Arabidopsis thaliana: one gene and its partner. The protein of the gene in region 1 interacts with the protein of each later gene in a pairwise test. Each region holds a gene or a part of one and is shown on either strand. Other genes may lie near its edges.

The links.
Region 2: the proteins of LUL3 (region 1) and GDU2 interact in a two-hybrid assay, tested with the Arabidopsis thaliana proteins (one study listed by BioGRID).

The regions. Positions count from the first base shown.
Region 1 is NC_003076.8:6,371,225-6,387,899, forward strand, and holds LUL3 (RING/U-box superfamily protein), read left to right. Parts: upstream 1-6,924; 5' UTR 6,925-7,175; coding exon 7,176-7,693; intron 7,694-8,195; coding exon 8,196-8,694; intron 8,695-8,943; coding exon 8,944-9,063; 3' UTR 9,064-9,381; downstream 9,382-16,675. Other genes in the region: AT5G19050 (alpha/beta-Hydrolases superfamily protein), read left to right, coding at 76-140, 355-502; AT5G19060 (cytochrome P450 family protein), read left to right, coding at 1,787-3,442; AT5G19070 (SNARE associated Golgi protein family), read left to right, coding at 4,345-4,440, 4,713-4,774, 4,963-5,017, 5,149-5,247, 5,373-5,459, 5,539-5,655, 5,749-5,841, 5,922-5,952 and 1 more. UniProt on the Arabidopsis thaliana protein: Acts as an E3 ubiquitin-protein ligase, or as part of E3 complex, which accepts ubiquitin from specific E2 ubiquitin-conjugating enzymes and then transfers it to substrates (in vitro).
Region 2 is NC_003075.7:13,107,678-13,122,486, forward strand, and holds GDU2 (glutamine dumper 2), read left to right. Parts: upstream 1-8,350; 5' UTR 8,351-8,471; coding exon 8,472-8,861; 3' UTR 8,862-9,278; downstream 9,279-14,809. Other genes in the region: AT4G25740 (RNA binding Plectin/S10 domain-containing protein), read right to left, coding at 46-166, 249-528, 913-961, 1,072-1,074; ABCG4 (ABC-2 type transporter family protein), read right to left, coding at 2,950-4,683; AT4G25770 (alpha/beta-Hydrolases superfamily protein), read right to left, coding at 10,212-10,393, 10,571-10,694, 10,781-10,833, 10,931-10,986, 11,068-11,231, 11,355-11,594, 11,673-11,743, 11,836-11,903 and 1 more; AT4G25780 (CAP (Cysteine-rich secretory proteins, Antigen 5, and Pathogenesis-related 1 protein) superfamily protein), read left to right, coding at 13,430-14,002; AT4G25790 (CAP (Cysteine-rich secretory proteins, Antigen 5, and Pathogenesis-related 1 protein) superfamily protein), read right to left, coding at 14,571-14,809. UniProt on the Arabidopsis thaliana protein: Probable subunit of an amino acid transporter involved in the regulation of the amino acid metabolism. Stimulates amino acid export by activating nonselective amino acid facilitators.

The DNA of each region.
Region 1 (16,675 bases):
ACATAAATTTTTCTAGTTGTGGCCAATTGGGCATTGATTAGCTTCTTATATCATCTATGTCTTGGTTCTACACAGGTGATTTTCTCCATGGGTGATGAGTATGTACCAGATTATGTCGACAAAAAAGCATTGGTCAATAGGTGAGGGCAGTTAAACTAAAGTAATTATAAGAATCTGTAACTGAAGACACCTTACATAGACATGGATGTCCCATTTTTTTCATTTGTTTGCAATTTAAGTTAAAATTGGTATATATGAAGAACTATAGATGCAAACTTTGGATCAAAATGATATCGAAATGATTGGACATGAACAATCAGATCAAAAGGATTGATTTGATCTTTGTGATTACAGATTAAGTAAAGCAATGGGAGGAGCAGAGAAAGTGGAGATAGAGCATGGGAATCATTCTCTCTCCAATAGAGTTCATGAAGCTGTTCAAGCCATCATTGGTTTTGTCAAAAGAGAAGGACCCAGTGGTTGGGATGATCCTTGGAGCTAAATCTGCTTTTTCCATTTATGTGGATGAAAAACTTATCCAAATCTGAATCTCATGAATTAATTCACTTCTTGGCTGATTCGTAACCATTTATCCTTAAAAAGTAAAAAAGTAAATTGTTGTCCTTTTGTTCTGATATATACTTGGATCATTAAGAAAAGTGTCTTCCTTATTATATCCTTCTTTTGTTGCTTGGTTTTGTCTTGCTGAGTCCATAAGTTAAGCTTGAACAGAGATGCTTTGGGAAACTATGAAAAAACTAAATCAGTAAGCAATCAAAGGTAAACGGTAAAGATGATATAACAGAGTGTTTGGTAAGATGATAGTACCAAATACCAAACACTGACACCAATAAATAGGCATTGAGTTGTCCAAAGGTTAGGTAAATAACAGAAATTTCCATTAGTGTATACATAACTGTTTCCTCCTAAAACAATCAACAATTCAACATCATACTAATCTTTTTTTTTTTTTTTTTTTGCCAAACAACATCATACTAATCTATATCTTCTTTTCTCTTCTGTTCAAAATTTATACCAGTATATTCAAATTTAGAATAAATTATGTAAGTATTTAGTTCTTGCAATAAAAGAAGATAAGGAAAGAAGAATTATTTGAAGGATCATTGTAAGCAAAAAGGTTTTCAGTTATAAAAGGATTTCAATTGGTGGCAGCCTAACAATTTTTCTTTCTAAATTATGAAGTTCCAGTCTCAAACCTAATCTTTAAATAATTAGTTGGGTAGCTACTAAATCTCAATATCTGTTTTTTTACACCAGTTTAAAATTTTTATCCCGGCAAAGAATATGTAAGCGGGGGTGCGACAATGACCAAACAAACAAGACACGTGACCGCGAACATTGTCCTAAAATCCCACCGTACACTGAAACGTCACGCCGACGCGACTCCTGAACACGCTTCCTTCGCAACAACACATGTCAGTGCTCATTAGTTGGCGCGATCACCGGTTCGAGCCAATGCTAATATCTGCTGATTCACAAGGGTATAATCGTCTGTACATCATTAAATTGTCATTTCTATACTCTTCGGCCTTTTGGCAAATCACATTGAATTTGAAGCAATTTTCCTTCCGACAATCTCTAAATTCTTACCTAATTAGTACTTTTGGAGACTAATGTTCTGCTCGAGATTCGAAACTAGGAAACTAATAAAAATCGGACCTGTTACTTACCAAAACTACAAAATAAAAATCGCACCTTTAGAAATCGCCTTGTCACAAATTTGATTTCTTGCCGATTTGTCATCATCTTCTTCAGATTTCTTCAAATGCCGAAGAAAGTAGTGATTCCGTCTCTGGCGATGAGTCCTCTACATCAATGGAGATTAAGTGCGCTAACATCTCTCGTCTTCTTCCTCATAGTTGTTGTCTGGAGCATTGACAGTTGTTCAATCAGAAGCTTCATCAAATCATGGAGATTCAACTCTTACTCTATACGACTCACTTCTCCTCCTTCTCTGGATCTGGATCCGACCCGAGTAAAGCTTGCCTGGATCTCCGTCGAGCAAGAGCAGAACTTCACAGCGAATGTACTCAAAAACTGGTTAGCTCCGGGTGGAGAGAAGTGCAGAGAAGCAAACACCGTTGAGATTTCTGTTCCGGGAATCGAAGGGAAGGGTTTAGTAGAGTTAACGGCTGGTGAGATTCACGAATTCAGATTTCATTCTCTAGATGATTCTGGGGAACGAGTTTGTATCGGTGGAGATTACTTCGAGACTGATCTTTCCGGTGAAAACTGGAAATCAAGACCACCGGTGAAAGATTTAGGAAACGGAACTTACTCTTTATCTCTTCAGATTCATCCTGATTTCGCCGGAGATTATGATCTCACCGTTGTTTTACTCTTCCGTCGCTTCCAAGGTCTTAAACTTAGCCCTGCACGCTTCGCATTCAACAGAACGCTACGAAATTTCAAACTACGGTTTATCAAGAAACCTCACGTTGTTTTACCGGAGCTCCGGAGATGTGAATTGTCCGATTTCGACAGAGATGTTTGGTCTGGCCGGTGGATTAGGCTTGGTAAGAACGACGAGTGTGAAATCAGCAATGATGGACGTTACCGTTGCTTACCAGATGGTTACCGTTGCCGGGAACCATGGTGCGACGGAGCTTTATCGGCGTTAGAAAGCAATGGTTGGGTTTACTCGAGTCATTGCTCGTTTAAGCTATTCTCTAGTGAATCAGCTTGGGATTGTTTGAAGAACAAATGGATTTTCTTCTGGGGTGACTCTAATCATGTTGATTCGATCAGAAACTTGTTGAACTTTGTCTTGGGTCATCCGGAGATTGGTGCTGTTCCTAGGAGGTTTGATTTGAAGTTCTCGAATCCGAAGAACTCATCGGAAACAGTTAGGATCACGAGTATCTTCAATGGACATTGGAACGAGACTCAAAACTATCTAGGTCTTGATTCACTTGAAGATGATAGCTTTAGAGAATTGCTTAAAAGCTATTTCGTCGAAGAGACCGGTGTACCGGACGTGATGATCGTTAACTCGGGTCTACACGACGGTATTCACTGGTCTAACCTTAGAGCATTTACGAAAGGAGCAGAAACCGCGGCTGCGTTCTGGAGGAACGTTTTCGACTCGGTGAAAGCCCGGGGATTGCGACCTCCGAAAGTGATTTTCAGGAACACGATAGCGACGGGCGGTTACGCGAGGAAGCTTGCGTTTAACCCGAGCAAGATGGAAGTGTACAATGGGGTGTTTTTAGAGAAAATGAAGGGGTTAGGATTGGTCTCAAGTGTGATTGATAACTTTGACATGACGTATCCGTGGCATTTTGATAACCGGTGTAACGATGGCGTTCACTATGGAAGACCTCCGGCGAAAGTGCGGTGGATAGACGGCGAGATTGGGCATCAGTACTTTGTTGATCTCATGCTTGTTCATGTCTTGTTAAATGCAGTTTGTCTACGTTAGAGTAGAGGCTAGAGAGAGCTGCTTTAAATTTAAGTTTGGTTTAGGACTTAGGAAGATTCTTTTATTTGTCTCGTGTAGACTTTTCTTGATTATGTTAGCCTTAAAATTCGGTATTTAGTCACAAGCTGAAGACAAATAAATCGTCATCTTTCTTTCATTGACAAATCATCCGATTACGCATTGTTTTCTCTTTTCAAAACTTGGTCATTCAAATAAAAAAAATTATAATTCCATTTGTATATAATGAAGAATCAGTACTTTGAGTAATTAAATATTTGGATCATGAAATATTCATGTCATATACTTATGTCATTGTTTTTTATTATTATTTTTTTGGTCAAACTTATTTTGTTCTTTTTATAATGTCATTATTTTATACATATCCAAATATAAAAAACATAGTTAATTCATACAAGGCGGATACAAATGTGATTATTAATTGTTCATTCTCTTCTTATTTTTAGTAAATCGAATAAAAAATTATGTATGGTTCTAAATAATAAAATCTCATCCAATTTAATTTAAAACAAAAGGAATTAGATAATATTGAAATCGATTAAGGACGGCAAGGAAGTCGGTACGCGCCACGCGGTTTAATGAAACCAGTCACAGTTCTAATGCTTACGCTAAACATGGAGTCTCCAAACCAAATCAACGACAATTGAATCCACACCTTCACGAAACCCCCCAAAGTTTTTGTCTTTTTCGGTTTCGGATTACATCATCTCCAAGACAAGCACCAGCATCAGATTTTCTGCATCCTTAAAGATCTCGTTGCGGTTTTTGTCGGAATTGTTTCGATTTGTTGTGGTTCTCAATAAGCTCTCGCTTGTCAGAGAAACACCGGCAACGCCGTTGAAATAGTCACCGGAGACCATTTTGCATCGTAGAGTTCGCCTTTTATGGCGTTCACGTGGGGATCTGCTCTCCGGATTTCTGTTCTCCTTATCCTTGTAGCTGCAATTGTCTTAGCTTGTTATTTTCTCCCTGTTGAGAAGGTTCGTAATTGGCCTAATTAGGGTTCTCAATGTGGTTATTCTGACATGGGTTTTTGATGATCTCTGGAAATTGACATGCTTTTCTTTGAATTTCTCGTAAATGTCGCTCTTTTGTGTTAGCAATGAAAAAGGATTGATCTTTACTATCATTGATTAACTAATTGTCAGAAAGCAAATGCCCTTTTTGAATTCGTTTCATTTGATGTTGTGATTTGTAGTATTAGCTAGTTTATGATCTGAAACTTACTAATTTCCTTTGTATTATTTTTCAGCTATTGAAGGATTTTTTGTTATGGGTTGAACAAGATCTAGGGCCTTGGGGACCTTTTGCCCTGTAAGTCTCTTTTCTTCTTGTTTCTTGAGCTATGGAGCTAGTTAGATTCTTGCGTGAGTAATATAGCAATGAGCTACACTAACGGTGGTAGCTGAATCACTGTTTCATTGCTAATGTTAATCCATAGATATAGGAACATGAGATTACCTTGGTACTGAACTTCTCTTTTTTTTTTGCGATGTCTGCAGAGCTGTTGCGTACATTCCTCTAACAGTTTTGGCTGTTCCTGCCTCGGTTCTCACGGTATATATACATATTTCTTTTGTGTGTGATATATTTACCGCTATCATCCACTCTCAACTTTCTTTGTTAGAGTGACTGGTTTATCTATAAAATTGAGAAATCTTATTTGGTTGAAGCTGTGATATATTCAGCTCGGTGGTGGCTACCTTTTTGGGCTGCCAATTGGTTTTGTGGCGGACTCAGTCGGTGCTACACTTGGCTCAGGAGCTGCATTTCTACTAGGCCGTACGGTAAGCCACTCAAATTCTTATTGATTTGCAGACACAACCATTAGATTAATGAAGTGACATGCATAAACCACTGACGCTATCCTTTTTTGATATTTTGGTACTTACATGAAAATGCTCTTATGCAGATTGGAAAACCTTTTGTAGTTGCAAAATTAAAGGATTATCCTCAGTTTCAATCAGTGGCACTCGCGATAGAGAAATCCGGCTTCAAGGTTTGCACTGAGAACCCATTACAAGTTTTGTGCTGACACTCTTCTTTTGAAACTTATGAATATGCAAAACTGAATATAGATATGCTTGTTGCTCCGGCTTGCTCCTCTTCTTCCGTTCAGCATGTTGAACTACCTCTTATCTGTCACGCCAATTCGGCTAGGTCCATACTTGCTTTCTTCGTGGTTAGGGATGATGGTAATCTATTCTAATCCACCACTTCATAACGACTGCAAAATGTTTAAATTGTAAGATGGAAATAATACAGCTTGATACATTGTTAATTTGCAGCCAATAACACTTGCGTTAGTGTATGTTGGAACAACTCTAAAAGACCTTTCTGATGTAACTCACAAGTGGAGCGAGTTCTCGCCAGGTCGCTGGGTAAGATCTACACAAATTTTAATTACATTCTCAGCTTCTTGTTTCAATCTCTATTCTGACCTGTTTTCCGCAATCTGCAGGCGTTCTTGATTTCGAGCCTTGTAATATCCGGTTAGTTCGGCATAACTAATGTTACTAGTTCCTTCGATTGCGGCAGAATCACTAATGTTACAAGTTCCTTCTTCTATCTGTTTCTTTGCAGTGATATTAATGGTGTGTGTTACAAAGGTGGCGAAGGACGCTCTAAGAAAAGCTTTAGCAGAGCACGGAGGAGACATGAACGAAGCGGTTGCAGCCTTGCCGGAGCTGACCGTTACTGATGATGCTTCGACGGATTTAAATGAGCCTCTCTTGATAAAGATAGATGCACAACAACCTCAAGACCAAGTAAACCATAGTCATTAAAATTAAGATGATGAATACTTACTTTGTATAATCTTTATTTTAACATACAAAGCTTAGTTTTCTTGGTTTGTATAATAATAACATAGATTAAAAATTATTTTTAAAAAGTTATTTTTCTTAGTAACTTTGAGATGTAATTATTAGTTCACAGAGATTTAAAATATTGGATGAATAAAAAGAAACTAAATGGATTTTGGTTTGAGTTTCTAATTGCTCCAGCTAATCAGATATTTTGTTGACATTCACAAGCATTCTAAACATATCTATGACCTAAAAATGTTACAGGTATCTTAAAAATCTCCTAAACCAATATTCAATGAAGATTGTTGAATACGACTAAAGGTATATTTATTATACACAGAATCTGTTATGCATAAATTGAACCCATCAATTGAATATATGGGTATATTCATAACCAAAATTAGCTTTTATGATATTGGCTCAACTATTTTGGACTATTTAAAATCTCATCTTAATAACATAATTGGAAGAAAACCAAAATTAAGATGAAAACTTGTAAACTTTTATAAATGATCTGAATATAATTTACTAACATAATATTCAAAGTTAAGAACTTGTTGATATATGTGGTCAACTATAAAACACCACGTTTGAAATTCATAAGGTATTAGTTGATTTTTCATAGTTTTTCTCTATCAATAATGCTATTCGAAAAACGTCATGTATGTGTGTTTTCTAGATTTGAACAAGAAGAAACGGTCTTGTCTCTTTCGTTAGACGGTCATGTCTTCGGGAACATCCGATTAAAAAAAAAGTTACACGCGTTGACTTTTATTACAAAAATTGCAGTAAATCTGGCAGTAACTGCGTAAAGTAAAAATAATGTAAATAATAATCTTCACCGGAAGACAAATCTTTTGATCTGACTTTCGTCTCTCTGTCTCTCTTGTCTCGTTTCTTCAGAGGCTATGGGGATCTCCTTAAGCAAGCGTCGACGAGACAACAACAACAACCACCACCATCCCCACCACAATCCGCCGTACTATTACTCCGATCCTCCACCACAACAACCGCCGCCTCAAAACGGGTATAGCTACTCTCACAATTACCCCGTTTCAACTCCACAGCTCTCTCTTCCTCCACCACCGGCTCAGCCACCGTCTTCTTCTCAGCCTCCTCCGTCGCAGATTAGTTACCGACCGTACGGTCAAAACTACCATCAAAACCAATACTACCCGCAACAAGCTCCTCCGTATTTCACCGGTTATCATCACAATGGGTTTAATCCGATGATGAGGCCGGTTTATTTCGGTCCGACTCCGGTTGCGGTTATGGAACCGCCTGCACCTTATGTGGAGCATCAGACCGCTAAGAAGGTTAAGAACGATGTCAATGTGAATAAAGCTACGGTGAGGCTCGTAGCTGACGATCTTAACCCTGGTCATTATCTTGTTTCCTTCGTCTTCGATGCCTTATTCGATGGCAGGTATAACTTCTTCACTCCAAAATTTGAGTCAAGTTTCCGACTTTAGAACCAGAATTTGAATGAGATTGGCTAATTAGCGTAGAGGGGTCTTGTAGATTATACTGAATCTCAAATTTGGATCGTAAAGGTTCAAACTTTACATGATATGACTCATTTATTCAGTGAAAGTTAGGGTTTTTGCTGGGACGAGATTGATTAAAAGGAAACATCTTTACTCATGTTTCAGTTCTGAATTATGTGTTGCCACAATTTGGGATGAAAAAGGTTAAAATTTGACATGATCTAGGTGATGAATATGTGATTGGTTCAGAAACCAAACAATACAGGCTTCAGTTACATAACTGATTGATTTTAGGAGTTATTGTAGTTCATTTAATGGTTCGGAACTACTAAGCTAGTTAGCAACTGAATCAACCTTATTACTCTCCTGTGTTGCATACCAAGTTTAGGTATTAAGATTATCTGACGAGGAGTCTCATTATGTTACTTGTCTCATTTTCAGTTTCACTATCATATTTTTTGGAGAAGAGGAATCAAAGTGCACAATCGTCCCTCATTTACCAGAAGCTTTCCCACCAATCAAAGTCCCTTTCCAAAAAGGTGCCGGGCAGAAGTTTCTACAAGCTCCAGGGACAGGAATCGACCTAGGCTTCTTTTCACTGGATGATCTATCGAAACCATCACCAGAAGAGGTGTACCCACTTGTAATATCAGCCGAGACAGTAATATCACCAAGCTCGGTTTCAGAGGAACCATTAGTTCATAAGCAGATCACTCAAGCGGTTTTGGAGAAGACTAATGATGGATCTTTCAAAGTGAAAGTCATGAAACAGATTCTATGGATTGAAGGAGAACGATATGAACTACAAGAGTTGTATGGAATCGATAATTCAATCACACAAGGTACTGCTGCATCGGGGTTAGAGGATACTGGTGGCAAAGAATGTGTCATTTGCTTGACTGAACCTAAGGACACAGCCGTCATGCCTTGTAGACATTTGGTACAAACTTCTAGCAATTCTCTTTGCTTTCTTCAATTCTTCTAAACGCAATTTTTTTCATTTACTCGGTAAACCTATAAATCGTTGGTAGCGTTTCAGTTATGGAACAAGCAAATTCTGTCATTTTAGACTTGCTTCATATTGCTGTTGATTGTCTCTAAAGCAAATCTACATCAAGTCTTTCACAAGACCATAACTTTTTGGTTGAATTGTCATCAAGACTAAATCATGTTGTGTTGTCTGTTGCAGTGTTTGTGCAGTGATTGCGCAGAAGAACTGAGGTTTCAGACAAACAAATGTCCCATTTGTAGACAACCTATCCATGAGCTTGTAAAGATTAAAGTGGAAAGTAGTGATGAACAACACTGAAAAAGAGGTTTCTTCCCTTCACTTAAACACCATGTTTGATTCTTTCTTCTTCTTCTTTTTGAAAACCGTCAAATCGAATTCTTTTGCCCTTTTTTCTTATACAAATGTGTTTTCTCATGTCATACTCTTGCACATATTTGTTGGTCTTAGTTTTGGGAAACTCAAAGAAAAAAAAGTCAGTAATGTATATATAGCTCCAATGGTTCTTGAGAAACTTTCTCTTTGTATCTTTCTACTTGAAACACTCATTCTGTAACTGAATACTTTTTGGTTTGGGCATTGCTCAAATATAACTTGCAATCATATGTTGTTTATCGTAACGTTTCGGGTTTATAATCTAGAAACCGAACCTCCTAGTAACCACAATTCTATATCAAAAATAGACAGGAAAAATCTGCAAGAGTCTTGGATAGCTCTATGTGTCCCTAATTTGGCTTTCTTTTAACTCTTTCTTTTTGAGAAAGTAAAAGTTTGTGTAGATGAGAAAATGGGGACCTTGATAATTACAAAGATTCAAAAGAAAATAAAGAGAGATGGGAACTGAAGTTGATGAGAACATTCAAAGAAGTAATCTTTTTTTCTTCTCTCCTTTTTGCTTTTTGTCTGTAAAAAAGGCTCAAATAAAAGGAAAAGCTGGTAGGAGATGGAGAATGTTTCCTATTGAAGTTAAGCCTGAGAAAGAAAAAAGTTTTAAAAAAAAAGTGAAGCTTGAGTTCATTCTTTTTGACAGAATGCTCAAACTTTTGAAATGAGGAATAAAAAAAAGTCTTTGTTTGATAGTAGTGAAGTGACTCTCTTTACAAGCAATATTATTTCTCCATACACATTATGATTCCATGTGGTATCATATCTATGAACTATGAAACCCCTAGGGTCTATGTGTGATTGTCTTTGTCTTGTTTTGGACTATATAATGAATTTGAAGTGATACTTTTCCCTTTCTGCCTATGACAATGTTTACTAGTCATACCATGATGTTTAATCAAAATTCCTTACCGAATCTCGGCATTGATCACCTATTTCTATGTATGTGTCACTGTATCAATATATTTTTCAATTTCCTATATTCTATTTTAGACCAACCTTCTTTTCTTAGATTTGACATTACAGTGGATATATATGGTTCAGAAAGAAGTTTTAAGTTTTAACTAACTCCACAATTGCATTCAATTAGCCACTAGGAAAAATGATTGATGTTGCTCAATGGAATATTTAGCAATTAAAAGCAAGATTACTTTTCATAGGGTAATTGTGGCTGAGGTTTAAACTCAAAATGAAGATAATGACGATTGAAAGACTAAAAGATTATTGGAATTGAATTGACACAGCTCAACGCACAACATAATGTGACTTGAAGGGGAAAAAAAGGAAGTACCTATTTTTGCAGAAATACTTATGGAGTTTTTGTAGACATCTAGATCTTTAGGGAGTTATGTTATTGGTTATATACTTATATAAAGGTCAAGGCTCACAACTTTTCATGTACGTGTTAGGGATTCAATATGAGAGTCACATAGGTGTATATGGCCTCGTCACATGGCTTAGTAAACGATCTATTTGTGGTGTTTAGTGGAGATGGGAAGCGTCGTTGTAAGATGGTGGTGCGCCGCAGTTACTGATATAATAGGTGTTGCAATATTGAAGTCTATAATATTTGGTAAAGTTCAGTTCATGGCTAGCTTAGCTCTGAACTTGATTTATGCGTTTTGGATGTTATCTTGAAGATGTAGGTTGAAAAGAATATATTTCGTTGATAATTTTGTATCTTATTATTTGCACACTCGAGTACTATTTATTTTCTCGTAATGTAAGTATGTAACCTAGCTCCAAATTTCTTCACTTGCAAGTTTAGGATTGCAAATAACTAGTCATGATGGCTTCCTTGTGTGTGTGGTGTATACAGATATGCTACATGGATTTTTAAAATTTACAGTATGTTAAAACTAATACGAATCTAGTACCACCGGCAAATATAATGTCATTATTTCCGTCAGTTCATAGTTCATATATACTGTCAATTCTCAACCATATATAATTTACCAAAAAAATAATAGAAACCTCTATTATTCTGTCAGATTCTCAGCCATATATATACTTACCAAATAAATATAAACCTCTTGTATCATTCACACTATCAAGATTTAACTAAATACGGACTAATAGCCAATAAGTTTAACATTTTCCAAGCTAAAATATAGCAATTCAAGTCCGAGACGTATTATGATAAGATTCGTATAAGAAAAAAAAAAAAAAAAAAACGAATCTATAAGGAAAAGATGGTAACAAAAGGAGAGAATAGAGACAAAACCCCCAATTAATGTCATTTTGTCAATAAGAAGAAGATGACCCCATGTGAACATTGGAGACTCATGTGACTCAATTCTATCATTTTAGGCAAATATTCAGCTACAAATTTTATCGCAATAAACCCAAAATTATTCAAATGTTGGTAGTTAGCTGATAAGTAAGTTGTTTTTATGTTGTCGAATTCAAGTCTTGTGACTTTCTATAGATCAAAGTCTTTTTGTTTTCACTAAGAAAAAAATGTACAAATCAAAAATTCAGCATTTATACAAAAAAACACTGAATTGTTTTCCCTTAAGACATATACAGCATATATAAATATATATTGAGTCCTTGTATCAAACTTTTTAAATTAATTTAGAACATCATGAAAATTTTAGGGATCATCGTGCATAATCGATTTATAACTTTTGACTGGCAAGATAAAATCGTTTTGATCATTCAACACAAATTTGCTAGCATATACCCAATATAACTTCAAATAATCCAATAATGCAGCAAGTTTTCGACAAATAATTCCCCAGCCATCGTAAAACTTTATCATAAATGTCAAAATTGTACCATGTCCTTTCGTTCTAAAAGACTTGGCCTATAGTATACGAGTTAACGTTACTTTTTGTCCTATCCAATTATATGGTACAAAAAACTACAAACTACTGATATATGGCGATGAAATATCTACTAGCTAGATTTTTTTACGAGTAACACTTTTTGTTGTTCACTTAATTAACACCCCCTAATATTACTAGGATGTAACATGCTTGTATCTCGTTCGTTGCTTTTTTTTTCTTCATTTCTAAACTTCTCCATATATAAACATTTATGGTATATATATATATTCCATAAAAACGATAGTTTACGTGTATAAAAATCGTCGGATATAACTAAAAAGCGTGAGCCACCAAACAATATTAGGGTTTATTATGATCGATCTCATCATGTACAATGCATTTAATTTCAGCTAATGGTACGATCATATTAACTACATGCTAACAAGTAGTACTAATTAATTAACATCTTACATTTTGTTCTCTTTTTCCATATAATTTCGCAGGCGTAATTATAATCTTATGATTCTTATAATTTTCGACTTTAATTAAGTAAGTGCTCAGATTCCATGCATTAGTAGCTTAGTGGTTAGTTAGAGTTGAGTTAGGATATACGGTCAAGTTCATACATCACACATGTTCAGTGACGATTATGGTACTACGAACAAATCCGTTGTGCATGAACCACTTAATTGGTTGTTTAGGATTTGGTCTAGACAATAAATTCGTGGTGGACTTACGAATTTTTTTTGACCAAGGAACATGCTCACATTTGATATTAATTACTTGGTGCTTCGGCAAAGTTAGAATGAAATCAAGATTTATATATTTTTCTATGCATGTGTGTTCATAACTTCTTTTTTTGGTTTTATTCGCTTTACTAATCGACAATTACATCAGTGAAATTTCCTTTTTTCATTAAACAGTTATATCTTTAAAAAAGAGTTTAATTATAGTATTATTTAAATTTAAAGCAAAAAGGAAAACTAAAATAAGGGAAGAATGTCTCATGCCATGTTTACATTATTTAGGCTTTTGAAAAAAAAAACAATAATGATAAATGCGTAGAAAAAAAGTGTCTAAATTTAGAGAGAAAAAAATGCTTACCAGCTAAGAGCATCTTCATCAGTGAAATACCTTCTTAGTTTCTAAAAAAAAAAGATATTAGTATTTTAATAAATATTAGTTATATAATTAAATTTTAATAATAAAATAATATTTAATCAATAGATGATATACAAGTGTTTTTATGGGTTTCTCAGAGTTCTACTCTCTCTCATACTTTTTGATTATATTTTATTTTCATATTGAACAGTTTCTGGATGAGAAACTATCGATGGAAATGTTCTAAAATATTACTTATAAGAAAATTAAGAGAAACTGATGCGGCCGAAAACGTGATTATGTTCACTCGTAAGAGTGAGGCTTTCATCATTTACCCAACCCCACCCTTTTTTTCCCTTCATTTTTTTTTTGTTTTCTCTTTTAAACTAATCTTTTAAAGTTACAATTAGTTGTTTAACATTCTTGTAGTAGTATTTCTTATGTAAGGTTAAATCTCTTTTTCCCATTAAGACAAAATAATAATAATTTCAAACTCATATTCGTATGCCATATTTTCACATAAGGCGTCTCTTTCTTTAACCAATTTTGTCATTTTTTCATCTAGTTGGTCCCACTGTTTCAGTTTTAACTTTTACTATATACATATCATTCAATTATTGAAGTAATTTGGACAAAAAGTCAAAAATAAAAAGAAAAGATAGTTGGATATAACTTGTGAACTCTAAAAATCTGTTTTTTTTTAGTAACGCAATAAAAAATTTAAGCTTTAAAAAACATTAACTAAATTTTAAGCTTTCAAAATCTTAGGTTGATAGATACTATCAGAATCCTGCGGTAGTGTGTAGTAGATACTAGATAAACCATTTATTAAATTTCTGGTTTACAATTTCTTTTCAATATTCCTTCAAAACTTGTTTCTCTTAAAAATAAATTGTTTAATATGCTTAATGTAAAAACATTATCGGTCTAGTTAAAGACCAAAAAATTAAAGTTTCCACACCATGATTCAATTTGTAGCGAAAAAAGCATAGTTTCCATGTAAGAATGGTTAGGTTATTAATCCACTATAAATTATTTGTTTGCGAATCGTTTTAAAACATTCTTTCTGTATAATTTTGTAAGTTTTATAAGAAGCTTGTGTCTGCTTCATATTATTTTATATTTGTTTAATATTTTACGGCCATTCAAGTTTTGCAGTATTTTTTTCTTGGTTGAATTAATTTTGACTATATAGAATTACATTTTTTTGTGTTTTAAGTAAAAAAATTTTATACAACTATACAAAAAGGAAAACAAAACTGGATAAGCATTAGAGTGCCCCTCCAATTATGGGTGTGGTTTAGATAGAATAAATGCATTGTTTAGTTGTTATTACCAAACCTGATCCGTGGTGATTTTTATATGAAACGAAATAAATACATATATCGAGTATAGTCGTTAATGATGGAAAAAACGAGCCATGCGTGATATGATATAATTGGGACAAATTATTACGTGTATGTGAATCGATATGGTCAATAGTTCTTTGAATCGTAAAATTAAATCAATCATGATTGGGTATTACAATCATAAAAACTCTTAGGTTTGTGTTTATTTGCTTTATTCATTTTACTTTCTCTGCTATAATTTATTTAACACTCCATGTTTTGAGCCGGTCTGAAAAGTCCATGCGATATTTAATTTTATCCTAGATATAGTAATTTACTGTTTTGAATTTCTTGACCATAATAAATCAAATGCTATTAATTAAGATACCAACCAAACTCTAAAATCTATATCGGATCGAAACCAAATAAAATTACAAAAATGTCAAAGTCCTTCATGATTCTTACACAATAAAGGTTAGTATTTTTTTTAGAGGAAAATGAACTACTTGCAGCCCAATTAATTATTATTTGTATAAATCATACTATATTTTTATTATACATCAATACATTTTCTATTTATAAATAAATAATACATCTGTAAACCGGCCAGACCAGATTGTGGACCGTGCGTGATCCAATTCAACACCCACTCTGTTTTTAAAAAACATTGTTACAAAATTGTTTCATCCCCTACATTTTAGGTGTACATTCCAAAACCACAAATATATTTATTTTAAATGGATAATTGAAATGTTCTGTTTGATTATTCCAAGCCTATATAGAGTTACCATATGAAAGAACAAAAAAAAAAATACATATACTTTTCTTATAATATTGTTGTAGGTATTAATGTATATTTAATATCGATGAATGTTGGTGTTGTGATTTACTGATATTTTTCTTATAATTTAAAAGTTACAAGTAAATTTATCATTTATGCGACTCCATGCATATGTCATCCAATTTTTTTGTTGTTTGTTCATAATTTTTTTTTGCCTTGCTTCTAAATGATCAGTAATCAGATCAAACTAAAACTCTTTAAGATAATTAGATAATTAGTTAGACCGTTAAGATTGATTTGGATTTACTAGAATTTCGAAATTAATTTATTGGGGTAAGAAAGAATGAAAGATCATTCCAAAATTTAATGTAGCAAAATTCCTAGGACCGGTTTATACGGAAGGAATAAAGAGAGAACAGCTTCACGTTTTTCATCACATAGTAACGTCAAATTAACCAGCTCATTTGTCGTAATTAAGAAACAAAATTAATCTAAATACTTTAATGAATTCCCATTAAACAATTGTTTGTTTAGTTGATGCCAAGCCGAGCCACAATAAGCCGAGCTAATAATTAGTACTAAAAGTGCAAATTAAAATAGTTAGCACATTCTTTTTTATATATAACAATAAATAGCACATTCTTAGATAGGGGATGTTATGAATATTCATAGTCCCCATTTCCAACGTTTACTTTGTTGTACTAATAGATTATTTTCACACTTAAAATGTATTATTATATTTTATATCCACTTACTATTTTTCTTTAAAAGGGAAAGTATTTAAATCTCAACAATGCACAAATTAAAATCATAAACCATATTATAAGAATTTTGACTCTATACTATATTCGAAAATTAAATTATTTTTGTATGTTAAAAAGAAGATATAATCCTCTCTATATTCAAATTTATAGATTTTAGAACATTAAAAACGGTAATACCATTAGTACTCCTATCTTTAATGACACATCATACTCCTAATCTAGTTTGACAATTTACATTTCACATCTAACCATTAAATTATAACCAAAAAAAGATTAAAATTAATATTAAAATATAAAAACCCAAAATAAGAGTACACTGCACTCACTTCATTTCTCCTAATAAATTAAAGCCCATCTTAAAAAAGATAACGAAGTAGCAACTTTGCATCATCATCGTCATCTCTCTCTCTCTCTCTCCCTCTCATTCTGAAATAGATGAAGTAGAGAAGTTAATGTTCACCAAACTTACTGTAAAGCCTGAAACTTTCTTCCTTCTTCTTCTTTGCTTCATTCAAGTAAGTCTCTGATTTGCATTCTCTGTTTCTCTTTTGCATATTTGTCTTCCATGGCAAATACCCAATAACTAAAGAGACTTCTTTCTTCTGTTTTCTCAGATAATGTATGATATGTCTGTGTTCACAGTTATGTTTGCTTCTGACTTCTAAATCTATTTCTTTAATAATAGTTTTTGGGTTTGATGTTGCAGATTAATCTTTCAAGAACCAGCGGAGTTGTCTCAGATCTAGTGATAAAAGTGAGATAGATTTGAATTTCGTCACCAAT
Region 2 (14,809 bases), on another chromosome or scaffold:
TATAGGCTCAGTAAACTAGGAGTGATTAGTAAGTCGAAGATTTACTTGGAAAGACGGCTGGAAATCAGCTGGAGCTCCACCCTTCTCATCACCACCACGTGGGCCTCCACGGTATCCATCACGGTCACCAAATCTGGGACGGTCTCCATCAGAGCGAGGTGGTCCTCTGAAAACAAAAGCCAAAACAATATCAGAAATTAGCCAATCCCTCAGACCGGACAGGTCAAGGGATTTAAAGATGAAACTACCTTTGGCGATCACCAGGTGGGCCACCAAAGGGACGACCACCGGGCTTAGCAGACTTCTTCAAAGTAGCAGGGACAACATCGGAAGGAAGGTTAAGATAAGTTCTCAAGAACTCAATTCCTTCATTAGTCAGAAACCAATAATAATGCATCCACGCAAATGTCTCCCTAACGTACTCCTTGGACTTGAAACTCTGCATGAGCTTAATCACTTGCAGGTTTGGTACATCAATCAACGGATGCTTTGGGAGATTGAAATCCTTCTTAGCAAAGCATACTCCCTCTACGAAACCCAGTAAGATATGATCATTTAGTATCCACACAAATTCTTTCTCTAGACAACTGAGTACAGTACTAGATAATAAATCCCTCAACAGTTATATACCAATCTATCATACTCTTCAAGAATTATAACTTATGAACAAACATTGTTAGATCCAGCATTCCAATTACTCTGAACCTTACAATACTACTTTATAAACAAGTTCATATCTAAAATCGTAGGCCTAAAAGGAGCTGAAAGCAAGCATAAATCTTTTCACATTTCAATGCAATTGTTTCTCACTACAAGCTTAGATTCGAAGATCCCTAGAGAAATGTAACTAGCTTAAACCTGGTTCCACTAGCTGAAAATAGAAGGAAATGAAAGAGAGCATGACTCACAAACCTTTGAAAAGGTATTTGCAGATCTCTCTGCGATTGTTCTCTGAGATAATCTGATAAAAGGACGAACAAGATCACAATTAATACTCGGATAATTCCTTCCATTACATTCAGTAAATATGTAAATTTAGAGAAACAGAGTAGAAGCAGAGTATGTGTATACCATCGTCTTGTTGGTTGAGCTTTCGCTGCAAAGAGGCACTGAGCTTGAGCAAAGGGGAGCAATAGGGTTTTCTGCGGATAAAAGACGATTAGATTATATATTACGGATTTGGGCTTTTATTGGGCTGATAATCTAATAATTATTTGCTACAAAGCTGGCCTTTACATGGTCCGGTTAGATGGTTAACCGGTTCCATATTAGATTTCGGAGTCCCATAGTGAATTTTCTTCTGTTAACGGGAGAATCATAGGCTGACCTAGAAAAAAAATTCACATAATAATGACCAACAATGAATTAAATCATAGTAGGATGATTCAAATTCTTGTTCTTGGACTAACAGATTAATTTGCAACCACTAAAACACCATAGTTGGAAATTATGAATTTGAGAATTGAGATTTTATTTAAAATCTTGTAGTTTGGTAAGTGAATCATTCAATTACAGTCACATTCTAGGATTTGTGTATCTATATGATCTTCACTCATTAAGGTTTCGGCGCTAGATTTCATGCTAGGCTTAAATTTTTACTCAATCCAATCTTACTCCTTCACTCGCCACCTAGTGAAGTCAACGGACAAGTTTGTCATAAAATAATGTAGACGTCAATGTTTTTTGGAGACACAAGTATTTGGTCCCAACAACTCATGTTGCTTTCTCCAGCCGTACATCACGGTCAGAACCAATTTTGTAGTGGGCGAACAAAGCTGCTTGCATATTGATTCAGTGACTCAAGCTGAGGAACACAATCTTAAAGACATGCTGATGGAGTATGTTAAGTAGATTAGGTGGTAATGTAAACCTTGCTTCTCAAGAAACGTATTCCTTGTTTCTCAAGTTTGAAACCGGATACCAATGACGGACGTCCCAACACATATATCCTATTCAAGTTCCCAAACTCCAAGATTAAAACGTGATATACATATGAATTTTAAATTTTTGAGTAAACCTTTGAAGTTAGTAATAAAAAATGAATTTGGATTATAACTGAGTCAGGAAGCCAGCTTGGTCGAGACAAAAATTACTTGCTAAACAAAAATGTTCACGGGCGACCAATGAAGTTGCATGTCCGTGAACCCATGAATACAAAAGAGATGTGGCATTTTGTATGTCAACTTGAGCACAACTATTTATTGATTTCTACTTTATTGTTTGTCAACATCGTGAATGCCTACTTCTTAACCAAAACAATTTTTTTTTACATTGTTATTGACCAAAAAAAAAAAGTAGCTCGCTGTTTGTTTTTGGATAAGCAGACGTATAAATTGATGTACCCAAAGTAAAGTCTAGGATCTGCAACAATAATAGATGAAATCATGAATATTAACATCGCTTTAAGACACGGCCACTAACATAAATGATAAAACAATCAAGATCATGAATCCAAATCACAACTGAACTTTTAAATAAACCTTTAATTTTATATTTGTACATACATTTAGAACAATAATGTATAAACTGATATGGTTTTCCAGAGGAGGTGAAGACCATGTAGACCCGTGACGATCTCTTTTTTTTGGCCAAGTTAGAAGATACACGAACATGGCTCAAATATCTCTTAATCCAGTAGATTCTCTATATTCCCTGCACACGTAACCCAATCATAGAAGGCTAGATAGTACATCAAATAGTTCTCTTGGTTTTCTAGTGACATTATGAATGTATGTGAAGCTCATGGATATACACACTAAATACATGATAGAACAATGTATAAAACGAAAAAAATAAAGGAATTTATACTTTCATTAACTCATCCATCAATAAATTGCTTCTTTGTGTTCATCCATCAATTAATTTGCTTCTTTGTGTATATACCACGAAGTCTACAGAAACAAGAAAATCCCTTATATATAAAATTAAGCTTAAGAAATTGAAAAGCATTTATCTTTTGGAACCCGAAACCCTTTTAAGCAAAACAAGAAAACACAAAACACGATATAGTACGAAGAACCCTAACAACATATAAACATTAAACCACCTCTGTCTCTCATGAAGCCCATTCTTGTCTAACACGTCACCTCCAGTAACTAAGCAGCTATTCACAGAAGCTTCCTCAAACCAGACCAGGCACTTGTTGTGCAGACACGAGTACTCATTTATCAGAAGTGCGTCCAACGCATACTTGTACATTGAGAAGAAGTACATGAAGAGCCAGTACTTGGGAAGACTCTCTTTAGAGATGAAGTAACCAGAGAACAAGAAGAAAGCCGCAAGAAGAATGGTCACTGAAGATGTTCCAGCAATGTAGTTAGGTGCGAGAGAGCTCAAGAAAAGTACAAAAGAGTTAGCCATTAGGACAATGATCCAGATTACGAGCACAAAGTAGGCGAGAGCTTGCCATGAAAAGCAGAGTCCTACAAGGAAATAGAGTGAGACAGAGTAGATGATTGCGATGAGTAGCAAGTATGGCAAGAAAACCAAAGTGTTTGCAAGAATGTGAGAGGAGAGTCTGTAGAGTCCGCTTGAGGTTTCTCGGAGAAGAATAGGTCGTTCATCAATGAATATTGGAAGGGTTTGGGTAGTGGAGGAGAGGAGGAATGTGAGGGTGAATGCGAAAAGGCCAAATCGTTTCCTGATTCCTTCTTTGCCAGTTCCGATATTAAGGTAGATAGTGCCTAAGACAAGACCGACTACAAGAGATTCTAAGATGTTTGTTAGAAGCAACTGCCTTGTACGGTATATGATCTTCCAAAACCTGCTAGAGAGAAGGCTTATTTCGGTGATTCTCGAGCTTTTATATCGAACAATGCTCTGTTTTTGGTTCTGTTTTTTACTTTCAGGGCAGTGGTCTGGAAGAGCAATGTTGGCGTTTTCGTAGGGATCACGGATGTTCTGAAGTATCTCCATAGCGTACTCAAGAGAATTCAGCTGAGAAGGAACCGTGAATCCCTTGGAGAGCAAGAATGCTTCAAGTAAGTCAAGCCTTCCATGATATACAATGGTTCCTTTAGAAAGGAGTAACACGCGATCGATGAGAGACAGGATCTTGAAGCTAGGTTGGTGTATGGACAAGATCACGATCCTTTCTCTGGACGTCGCAATAGATTTGAGAATTTGAACGACATCGAAAGCGGATTTACTGTCTAAACCCGAGGTGGGTTCGTCGAGGAGTAGTACTTCCGGATCATGAAGAAGACTTAGACCAATTGAAACCCTCCTGCGTTCACCACCGGACAAGCCTTGACCTAGTCTTGTATGTGCAAGATGTGTTAGGTTTAGTTCTTTGAGGAGAGAAGCAACGACACTGGAGACTTTTGATAGGTTTTTTGGGAGCAAGAGAGAGGCGGAGAAAGTGAAGGTCTCGGAGACGGTGAGGAGAGGGAAGAAGGTGTCGTGTTGAGGAACGTAGGAGGAGATTTTACGGTAAGAAGAAGGGTTAATAAGGACGGAGTTTAGAAGTATTGAGCCTGAGGTCGGGGAGGTTCTTGCGGCAAGGATATCAAGGAGAGTTGATTTTCCGGCGCCGCTAGGGCCAATAATGGCGAGGATTTGGGAAGGATGAGAGGTGAGAGTGATGTTGCGGAGGATGAAGGAAGGTTGCTCCGCCGTGAGGAGGAGCGGTGAAAGAGGTTTGGCGTAGGAGATGGAAGAGGTGGATAAAGTGTACGACTCCATTTTGAGAGAAATGTTTAAAGGTTGGAGAAGGGAAGTGAGTGTTGTAAAGAGAATTTATTGATGCTTGAGTTTGGAATGTTTTGTATTTTCCAATGAAATTGACAATTTTTCAGTCTTTTTTTCTTTCTTATTTGTTTTTTGACCTTTTGGTTAATTATTTTGTCTTTTCTGTCATTTTGAATTTTGCGTTACATAGAACTCATCGAATATAATTGTGGTCAAACGGTGATGTAACCAGGATGCGACAGTAAGACAAGAGAGAGTCAGATATTGAAGAGATCATTAGAGATTCAAGTCCAAATTAAGATGGAGTTATTAGTGAGAAGGTGGATCCAGAAGAAACGAAAATTCTTAGATATATTCTCATAAAGAAAGCTTGCTAACAGTTACGTATACACACATTTATTGAAAACATGTAAAGATGGATCAAATGAATATGCATGTGTGTCATAGTGAATATATATTGTTGAGAAACTGAGAAGAAGAAAGCCAAAGGGGAATGCAGATAAAGGTCACGGGCCTGCTGACAATTATTACACAGAAAATTGCAAATCACGTACAAGTCTATTTCCCAATCTCTGCATCTTCCTTTGTTTGTTTGGCACACAATTTGCCAAACCATTTTTACAATTACATATTAATGACGTGACCAGTCCTGGATTTGAAGGAGTTTCTATAAAAACAATCTGGCTTAAACGTTAGTTAGTTATAGTTACTTGTGGTTGCTTTTACTTTAGGTATATCACCGTACATGCAAATGAATAAACTTTAGGAGTTAATAGGTGAAATAATTGTAAATGGTACAATTTCTTTATCTATGAAAGAAAATATTCTAAACAGAATTTGAATCATATTATAGTAACTTGTTATACATATCACATATGTGATATGTTTATATAGTTTGTTATACTAATAAAGCATTCTCTTCACTTTCTTTGGCCATCAATATATCCGTATCTCATGTTGTGTTTTTCCTAAATTTCTACACATAATAAAAAGTAGCATGTTGTTTCAAAGCCCCTTAACGGGTACAAAAACAAGAACAGAGTGCAGGGCTAAACAGAAGAAAATTGACATTAGGAAATCAGAAATAAGCCCATTTGAATGTGGATCAATATTGAAAAAAATGTGTGAAAAGCAACTTGCAATGTCACAAGATAAATATACCATGCCGTATATATCATAACTGCAAGAACAGACCCAAAACTGAAAAGTGAAAAGAATGTGTGTGGGTAAGTTAAAGAGTAATGAAGGCCGACAGGCGACAGTGGAGGAGGATGGACCAGACCAGGGTGCTGGGCGATGAGGACGTCTCGGCTAAAAGCTGAACCACCCTCCACTCTTAGGTCCCACAAAGGCTGGTCCTCGTTCACAAATGTACTCTCTCAAAGAAACACCCCTTTCTGCTTTATTACTATTCCCTCTCGTTCCTCCACTTTTTTGTAGCAGCTTCCACATGAATCATGTCATAACTGTTACAACATATTCCAAAAAAAAAACTATAGAATATATGTAGGAAATGTTAATCACTCTGTTTTTTTTGTATCTTTACTCTTTGTTTCTTCTCACTAGATACCGTCCTATACTTCTATTAGTGCATAACACTTCCTTAGACACTTGCTTTTACACTTTCCAAAATTATTTTAAACATGTATGTATATGATCATGTCGCCATGGTTGACGATATATACAATTATTGTACTTTCATCTCCTTTTCTCATCTTTTCTTTCAATAAACCTTATTTTTATTACCATATCTTCTCTTTTTCTTGCTAGCAAATGTTGATTATTTTATTGTAATTAAACTGTTGTTTATGACTTAATGTTCAAACTTCAAATAACATGTGTGAACTGTGAGGCATGCAATAATGATATTTGTTGCATATCTATCAGTTTTTAAAAGTGTCATCATAGCTCTATAAAGCTGTCTATTTAAATTAGATATACCTATCTCAAGTTCACTAATCCGTATCTAAAGAGAAAGAAAAATATCTTGATAACTAAAAATGAGTTTTAGAATGTACGGAGATAAGTTCTGAAAAAAACTGAACGAGCCACCTTTAAAAGTAATTAGATGAAGAAATAAACACAATTTGAAAAACTACATGAAAGCTAATCTCTGACTTGAGAAGTTGAGATATTTGGAACCTTTGTTAATTCTTTCAACACCGAAAACGATTTCTTAGGAAATTTCAAAAGAAATAAAAGTAAAGAGGGCAAGTATTCTGATTGTTAACCAAGCACAAAATGAAGCACCCATCAATCAATCTTTTCAACAATCAACATACCGATTCTAATTGGTCTGGCAGAATAATTACCGGAAAGGAAGAAGAATAGAACTCCAATATTTAATTATCGTACTTAATCTGTTTGTTCGAGAAACTAAATAATGGGTTCCTAGGTATATGTATTTATTTTATACATTATCTTCACATGTAACGTGCCTATTTAACGAGAATATGATTCCCTATGATTCATGCACAAACACAAATCAAATCCGGAATTTAAGTCGGATCAGGGAATAAATTATACAGCCCACACACATAATAATTTAAAACTAATATATACACAGTGAGGGGATTTAAAAGTAAAACTTATCTCCAAAGATTAATGTAAGCGACTAGTGATTGTGTTGGCATATTAACCGCACATAACATTGTTTGGGGGTTTGGATGCTTTAAAAAAGGTTCTGCCTTAGAAATTCCTTTTAGTTGACGTAATGATATATTATTGCTTACTGTAATACTAGTGGACACATTAAACAATGATCTTAAAGTACGAATGAAGAAATTAAAGAAAATGGAAGAGGAAGAATGTGGAAATGGAGAACGTAAGTGAAAGTGATTGGAAACTAATGGAATATCCGTTTTTCCTTTAGTCATGGTGGAAGCTGACGCTGAGAACCTACCCCTCCAATTGCACTACTCGCTCTATTACTTTATCTAACCAGAAGTTTTTTAAATACCCTTTACTGTATATAGTTCTTACAGTTTTATACATATTGTTAAGAACTCCATATATAGTGTATAAATGGCATTGAAAATAGTTTTGAGTTGAAACTCCTAAATGATATTAAATCTTGAGTTTAACCTAATTAAGCAAAGTAATAAAAACTGATTAGCCAAAACAAAGAGGTTAGTTAGTTCAACAGTTAGGTTAATGTGCAAATTGCCGTAACAAGATTATTAAATAATTCTTAACTTTAATTAACCTCTATCCATTATTGCATTTAAAAGATACTATTAATTAAAAGCCACCAATAAAAATTTAAACTTTATTAAAGTACTAAAGACGGATATATTAAACAAAACAATTATGAAAAAAATAAGAAAACCAACTTAATACAAGTTCAAATTAACATCCAAAAGAAGGAAATATACATGATTTTACAAATGTCTTCATTGAGCCACCACGTTAAACTAATATCATTTTTGAGGTTGATTAAAAAATTATTCATGTAAGTATAAATGCAAAAAAAAACTACATCTCTATATCAAAAACCAATCAATTGTTTACTCCATTATGGAAGATGATTCCCTAAAAAATAATTTCGTTAATACTCACTCTACAAAGTACAAATAATGAATACTGACTTTTTTCATACATTCCAAAAAAATACTGAAAACTGAACCATACACAAATCCATTGCATTAAGAAACAATCCATCCCATACGTTCCTCTATAAAACGCCTCTCACAACACAATCTCATCTCCCACCAATAAATTAATTACTTTTTTAACAAAGAAAACTTTCATTTCATTCACTCTTCCCAAACAGTAAAACACACATGCAGACAATGGAAGGACGACAATATAATTACCAAGACAGCATAAACGCGAGCTCCTCCATGGTGGTGCCTCACTCGCCTTGGCACTCTCCGGTTCCTTATCTCTTCGGTGGTTTGGCCGCCATGTTGGCTCTCATCTGCGTCGCTCTTCTCATCCTCGCATGTTCCTACTGGAGACTCTCCGGCTCCGCTGAGAGAGATCTTGAGGCCGGAGATGATGCCAAACCCGACAATGACACCAACAAAACTAAGCACACAGAAATGCCGGAGAAGTTTCTCGTCATAATGGCCGGTGATGTCAGACCTACTTACTTGGCTACGCCAGCGACTCGGTCTGAGCAAAGCTGTACTTGCGGCGATCATAACGAAGAAGAAGGAAGAAGAGGGTAGTGATCAGGTGGTATAGCAGAGCACCGGAGGTTACGGTGAGCCCTCCCTCATATTTTGAAAACAGAGCATTCGTTACGGAGTACTCCGGAATCGATCCGTCCGGTCTTTTTGTGTCGGTTCATAATTACGCCAACCTTACGTGAGCTGATGGGATATAAATTAGAGTTTTATTTATTTCGTATGGTTTTAGTTTTTTTTTGGTTGTCTCAGTTTTCTTCAAATTTTTCCCGTTTATGGTTCATGAAGGAATATCCGGTACATGTAAATTTTAAGAGTTTGAATAGATGATTGTTTTGGACTAGCGATTAAAGATAGAACTGAAGCTTGACAGACAAAATAAATAAAAGATACAACTAAAATCGTGCGTCCTTAATTCAGTTTTCGTGTATAGAGAGACAAAAATGTTTTCCCAGTGAGAGATGTACAGACATGATGCTTACGAAAGAGGGAAAGAGATGTGTTGTGAAAACTTCTAGTGATGTGCCAACAATGACGCATGCCGAATATTAAGCTAATTCGTTGTGGCGAACCGAAGTTGAGAATTATTCTCTTTGTACCTTTATTCCTAAATTTCTAGATATATTACTAAATATCATCAAGTTTTATCAAAGAACAAATAGCCTCTCAACTATACATTTCTCTCTTTTTTTCTTTTCCAGGCATATCCATTTATCATTGTTTACCATTCACTGAAATTGAAAGCATTATCGTTTATCGTTGGACAATAAATTGTCGTCTTTTGGATGATCAGTACAATGTGAACAGTGACACATATAATGGATGGAGACTACTGCAACTAACTGAATAATTGTTTTTCTAGTATGGGCAATTGGTCACTGGTTGTGTCATGTGTTTACGTCCTTTCGTTTTCTTGTCCAATTCCTACTATGTTTATTATGTGAACGTGTCAAAACAAACGAGCTCGCAAATGATGCCAATAAAACTGGAAAACCAACAATAATTGTGGAAAAATCGACATTCAACTGGCGCCAAGTCTTATGATCAAAACAAAAACTTATAGAATCGATAGTGACAAGAGAAGTATGAACCTTTTTTTTTTACAAAGAACGGGTAGATCTGTACAGATTCATTGTTCGACAGAACTATAAAACATTTTAAATAACCATCAAGGAAAAAGTGCCAAGAACTTTACCACGATTTGTATCGCATCAAGCATCATACTAAATACGATATAAATAACCAACAAAAAAGAGAAGAAGTTTGTGATGCTTATCGCCTTCTTACAGTGCTGACTAATTGCAGCGGTTGAAAATGTTTAGGGCTAGAGACCGAAATGATCCATCATGTGGAAGACAACATCTTTGCCATCAGAATGTAACCAATATGTTTTCACCTACACATTACAGGGAAAATTATGTCAAATGCTCTTAACAAAATCGCTTTTGAGTTTTGAGTTCTTATCATTAAACTTGCCTGGATGGTACTATGCGCGACGTATCGTTGCTTGCTATTGTGAAAGCTGACATCTACTCTTTCCCAAGATAGTTGACTGAGTCCATGTATCATTTCCTCTACATTTCACAAAAACCATAACAGGACGAAGTTAGTGATTCTACTTGTTATAAAGAAGACCAATGGGTAATAGATAGCGAGGCAAGGATCTACCACATTCCATAAATCTGATAGAGATATCATTTTTTCTAGCAAATTTTGAAAAACAAATAGTCAAGTGAGAAATAAAGCAAAACCTTCAAGATCAGTATCTTGCTCTGTTACTACTGTAGAAGTTGACTGGCAACTACCATTGTCCACATTTCCACGTTCTACGTATACAATGTGTGGATAGTTTGGATCCGTTGCTAGAAGATTTGGCTGGAAGATGAGCAGGGATAATAGTTATTGATAAATCCCACAACGTCATTAAAGATGTGCACAAAATATAATAAGTAAAGACATACCTTTGGGAGTTCATTTGGACGGCGAATTGAAGATGTCCTCCATCCAACCATAGCTTTCTCATTAGTTAAGGCAAACTCTTGTAAATGATAGAAATAATCAAAAACCATTGACAGTCTCTTTAAAAACATGTTTTTTTCAGGGAAGGATACAATCAAAATTCACGTTTGCATATGCCACACGACGCTTGAAAGCATTTAAAGCTGATCTGTTGAGGTCATAAGAAGAGATGATGAGCATATCAATCTGCAAGTCACCAATGAAAACACCCAGAAGCTAGAGCATTTACATGAATTTCAAGTCATCAGAATCTGTAGCCATCCGGATAAGAAGTGGAGCATTTCCATCATCGTTGTCCACCAGAAACAAATGCTTTCCGGTCCTCCCAGCAGCCAAATGTGCAGTTTGGGATGCTGTTCTTTCAAGAAACGGAAGGCCACAAAGAATCGGGAACTGAGGGAATGAAGACAAGAGTAAGCATGTCATACAGATTACAGAAAGAGATTATCTATATATATATATGCAAACCTTACATAAACATTTGACCTAGGCATGCAGTCTAAAACATCAATTCACCTGTCTATGTCCTCTTGAACCAAGATGAGGCGTTGCGAAAGTTATAAAGTTCATAGGTTCTAACCCAGCAATTTCGCCTCCTCTTGCGCTCTTCTCCTTCGAAGGAGAGTCCAGAGAGTCGACTTCCCCTGGCTGTTCATAGAGCTTCCCTATGGCATATCTTGCAACAAGACCTCCTAATGAATGAGCCACAAAAGATATCTTCTTCAGCCCACTTCTATGCTTAACAACACCCAAAACCTTCACAAATTTTCAAACATAGAAATCAAATTTTAAGTTGCAAGTTACAGAGGAAACAACAATGCATCCAAATACTACCTCATTAGCTAGCCTTTCACCCATTTTATCAACACCATCAAATGTCAACGTTGCACTATTACTCTCGCTACCTGCTTCATCCAATTTCATCATCAAAATCAAACAAATCATAAAATTACAGAGTAATCAAAACCACAATATCTATAGGTCAAGAAACACGCACGGTGCACTAGTACTTTATCCGGGAACTTCTTCACGAACTGCTCCGCCGCATATTTCCAATCCGCCGCACTAAATCATCATCCAACACAGAATTAGCACAGTCTTTAACCCAAACTATAGTAATCTGTAATTCTAATTGAAGCTCTTTGATTTAGTCTACCTGCCAACGATTCCGTTAACCATGACCACCAAATGATCAGGCTTCTCCGCAGACTCCATAACATCCGCATCGAAAAAGTCTTCTCCGCCGTTGTCGATCTCCGTCGTCAGCTCTCTTTTGCTTCGATTCGCCGCAAAGCAACCGATTCCAAGACGATTCATCCACTCCATTTGACAGAGATTCTTAGGTTGAGCTGGAAATTGAAGGTATAATCTGAAACGGAACTGGTTTTGACTAGGCGGAAGAAATCGCGGTGAAGACGGAATCAAATCGGGGATTGAGATTTGGAATCTGGAGAAGGACGCGATCATGTGGAAGTAAAAGGAACACAATAAGAAGGAAGTTATCTTCCTGACTAGCAAACTGATGATGACAAGTCGCTTAACTTTTCCGGCGAAGAAGTGTTACAATTTGCGGGTTTTGCGGAGGCGCTAAGCAACAGTAGCGGTAACATAGAAACACTTGGTCAAAATAAGTTTTTAAAAAAAATATTAATAGTGGATTGATAATAAATTAAAAACTATAAGAGGTTAATGGTGTTGTTATTAACAAACAAAAAAACTTTAATTTTGGAAGACTTGCAAAAATCTACACTAAAATGTAGAGATTTATCAACTACTATTAGTATAGGATAAATAGTAAATAAAAATTATTTCATTGCAAGTACATCTAATCTCAATATAAAATGTAAAGATTTATTTCATTAAAATGTCTGGATTTGTTTTCTTTTCTTTCTTAAAAGTAAAGCACATTTAAATCAATTATTTCAAGTTACTCATTTGATTATTCATATTGCACATGTGACATGTATGACAAAAAAAAAAATCTCTTTCACATTAAAACGTGTAAGTACTAATTAAGTACCAATAGAATCTCTTTCACATTCTTTTGATTTCCAATTTCGATTTGGCTTAATCGATTGCTAAATTCATTCGTTTTTTTCGTCCTTCTTCTTTCTTAATTTCATCCCTAACTATTTGATTTATCTTCCATAGTATTTTATATCATTGCATGGATTAAATTGATGGCCATAATGTTGTGAGTTGTGAGTGCCAATATGGGTTGGCAAGCATGCTGACTTATTGGCGTTTTCCGTGACGACCCACCATTATCAAATATCCGCCTATCTAATACGTCCAACATTAGGGTTTCACGGGACAACACATAACACAATCATATCATATCTCTCCAATAAAATAATACAATCCATAATTATCATCAATCTCCTTTTCTTTTTCTTTCTAAAATTTACAATCTGCCAGAGCCGCTACATAATTAGACAGAGCCGCTAAAAAACCCCTCAAATTTGTATCCATACATTTCCAATTACACAGTTTATCGTTTCCTTCTTTTTCTCTGTATATTTAAATAACACACTTGAACCTCCGAATCCATTAGCACCTACAAAACAATATAATCTCAGAAAAGAGAGAGGATGAGCTCATCCTATTTACGAGTAATATTACTCTTAGGTGCCCTTAATGTCGTCGTTTCTTTATCAATAACCAATTCTTTAATAACCAAATCAGCAACACTCGGTCAGGTGTTCCGAATCTGTAAGAATTTGTGTCCGGGATGTGACCACGACTCCTTGCAGTTCTTGTTCCGACACAACCTGGTCCGTGCCGCAAGATTCGAACCTCCTTTGATATGGGACCGCAGACTCCAGAACTACGCCCAAGGGTGGGCTAATCAAAGAAGGGGAGATTGTGCTTTGAGACACTCTGTCTCAAACGGAGAGTTTAATCTCGGCGAGAACATCTACTGGGGATACGGCGCCAACTGGTCTCCGGCCGACGCGGTGGTTGCATGGGCCAGCGAGAAGAGGTTTTATCATTACGGCTCCAACACGTGCGACGCTGGTCAGATGTGTGGTCATTACACACAGATTGTGTGGAAGAGCACTAGGAGGGTCGGATGTGCACGTGTGGTGTGCGACAATGGTGGGATCTTCATGACTTGTAACTATGATCCTCCCGGTAACTACATCGGCCAGAAACCCTATTAATTTATCATCATTTATCTATTAAAAATTCTCCAAAATAAAGTCATCTTACTAATTTTTTAGAAATTATGATGACTTTTTAAAGGAGATTAGGTGGGTGTATTTGTGTATTTTACTAGAAAATAGATCTATTTGTGGGGGTTGTGATACTAATTATGTATCTTGATTATTTTAATTGATGGTTGTAATTGCATCAACGGTTATTTATATATCCGTAAGAATGCCCAGTGTACAAGAATATATAAAATATAAAAAGATGATATGATTTTTGTAAAGAAATGCCAAGTACAAACGGAAAATTATATTGTTTGTGCATATTCATATCTAAGTAGTATTTAGTTATATAAAATTTAAGGGAACTAAGGAAGGTCTTTTGTATACCGATTAAAATTTTATTTTGGGGACATGACCATCACAAAATGAAAAGTAGAAACAACAAAATGTTCATAACACCATCAACTTAAAATCCATAGGATGATAAGTTTTAAAAGAAACAAAAGTCAAGAAGAATAAAAACATAGATTAAGAAATCACCAACGTTAATTTAAAACAACTAACGTGTTAGACAAAGTTAGTAAGGCTTCTCCCCAACGTAGTTACCCGGAGGGTCGTAGTTGCAAGTGATGAAAACTCCTGCGCCGTTCTCGCAGACAACTCTAGCGCAACCTAGGCGCCTGGTTTCACGCCACACGATCTGAGTGTAGTGACCACACATACCATCTCCTTCACACGTGTTGGTCATGTGGTTGTAGGACTTAGCCTCCACAGTCCATGACTCCACTGCGAAAGTCGATGTAAAGTCTGAGCCAC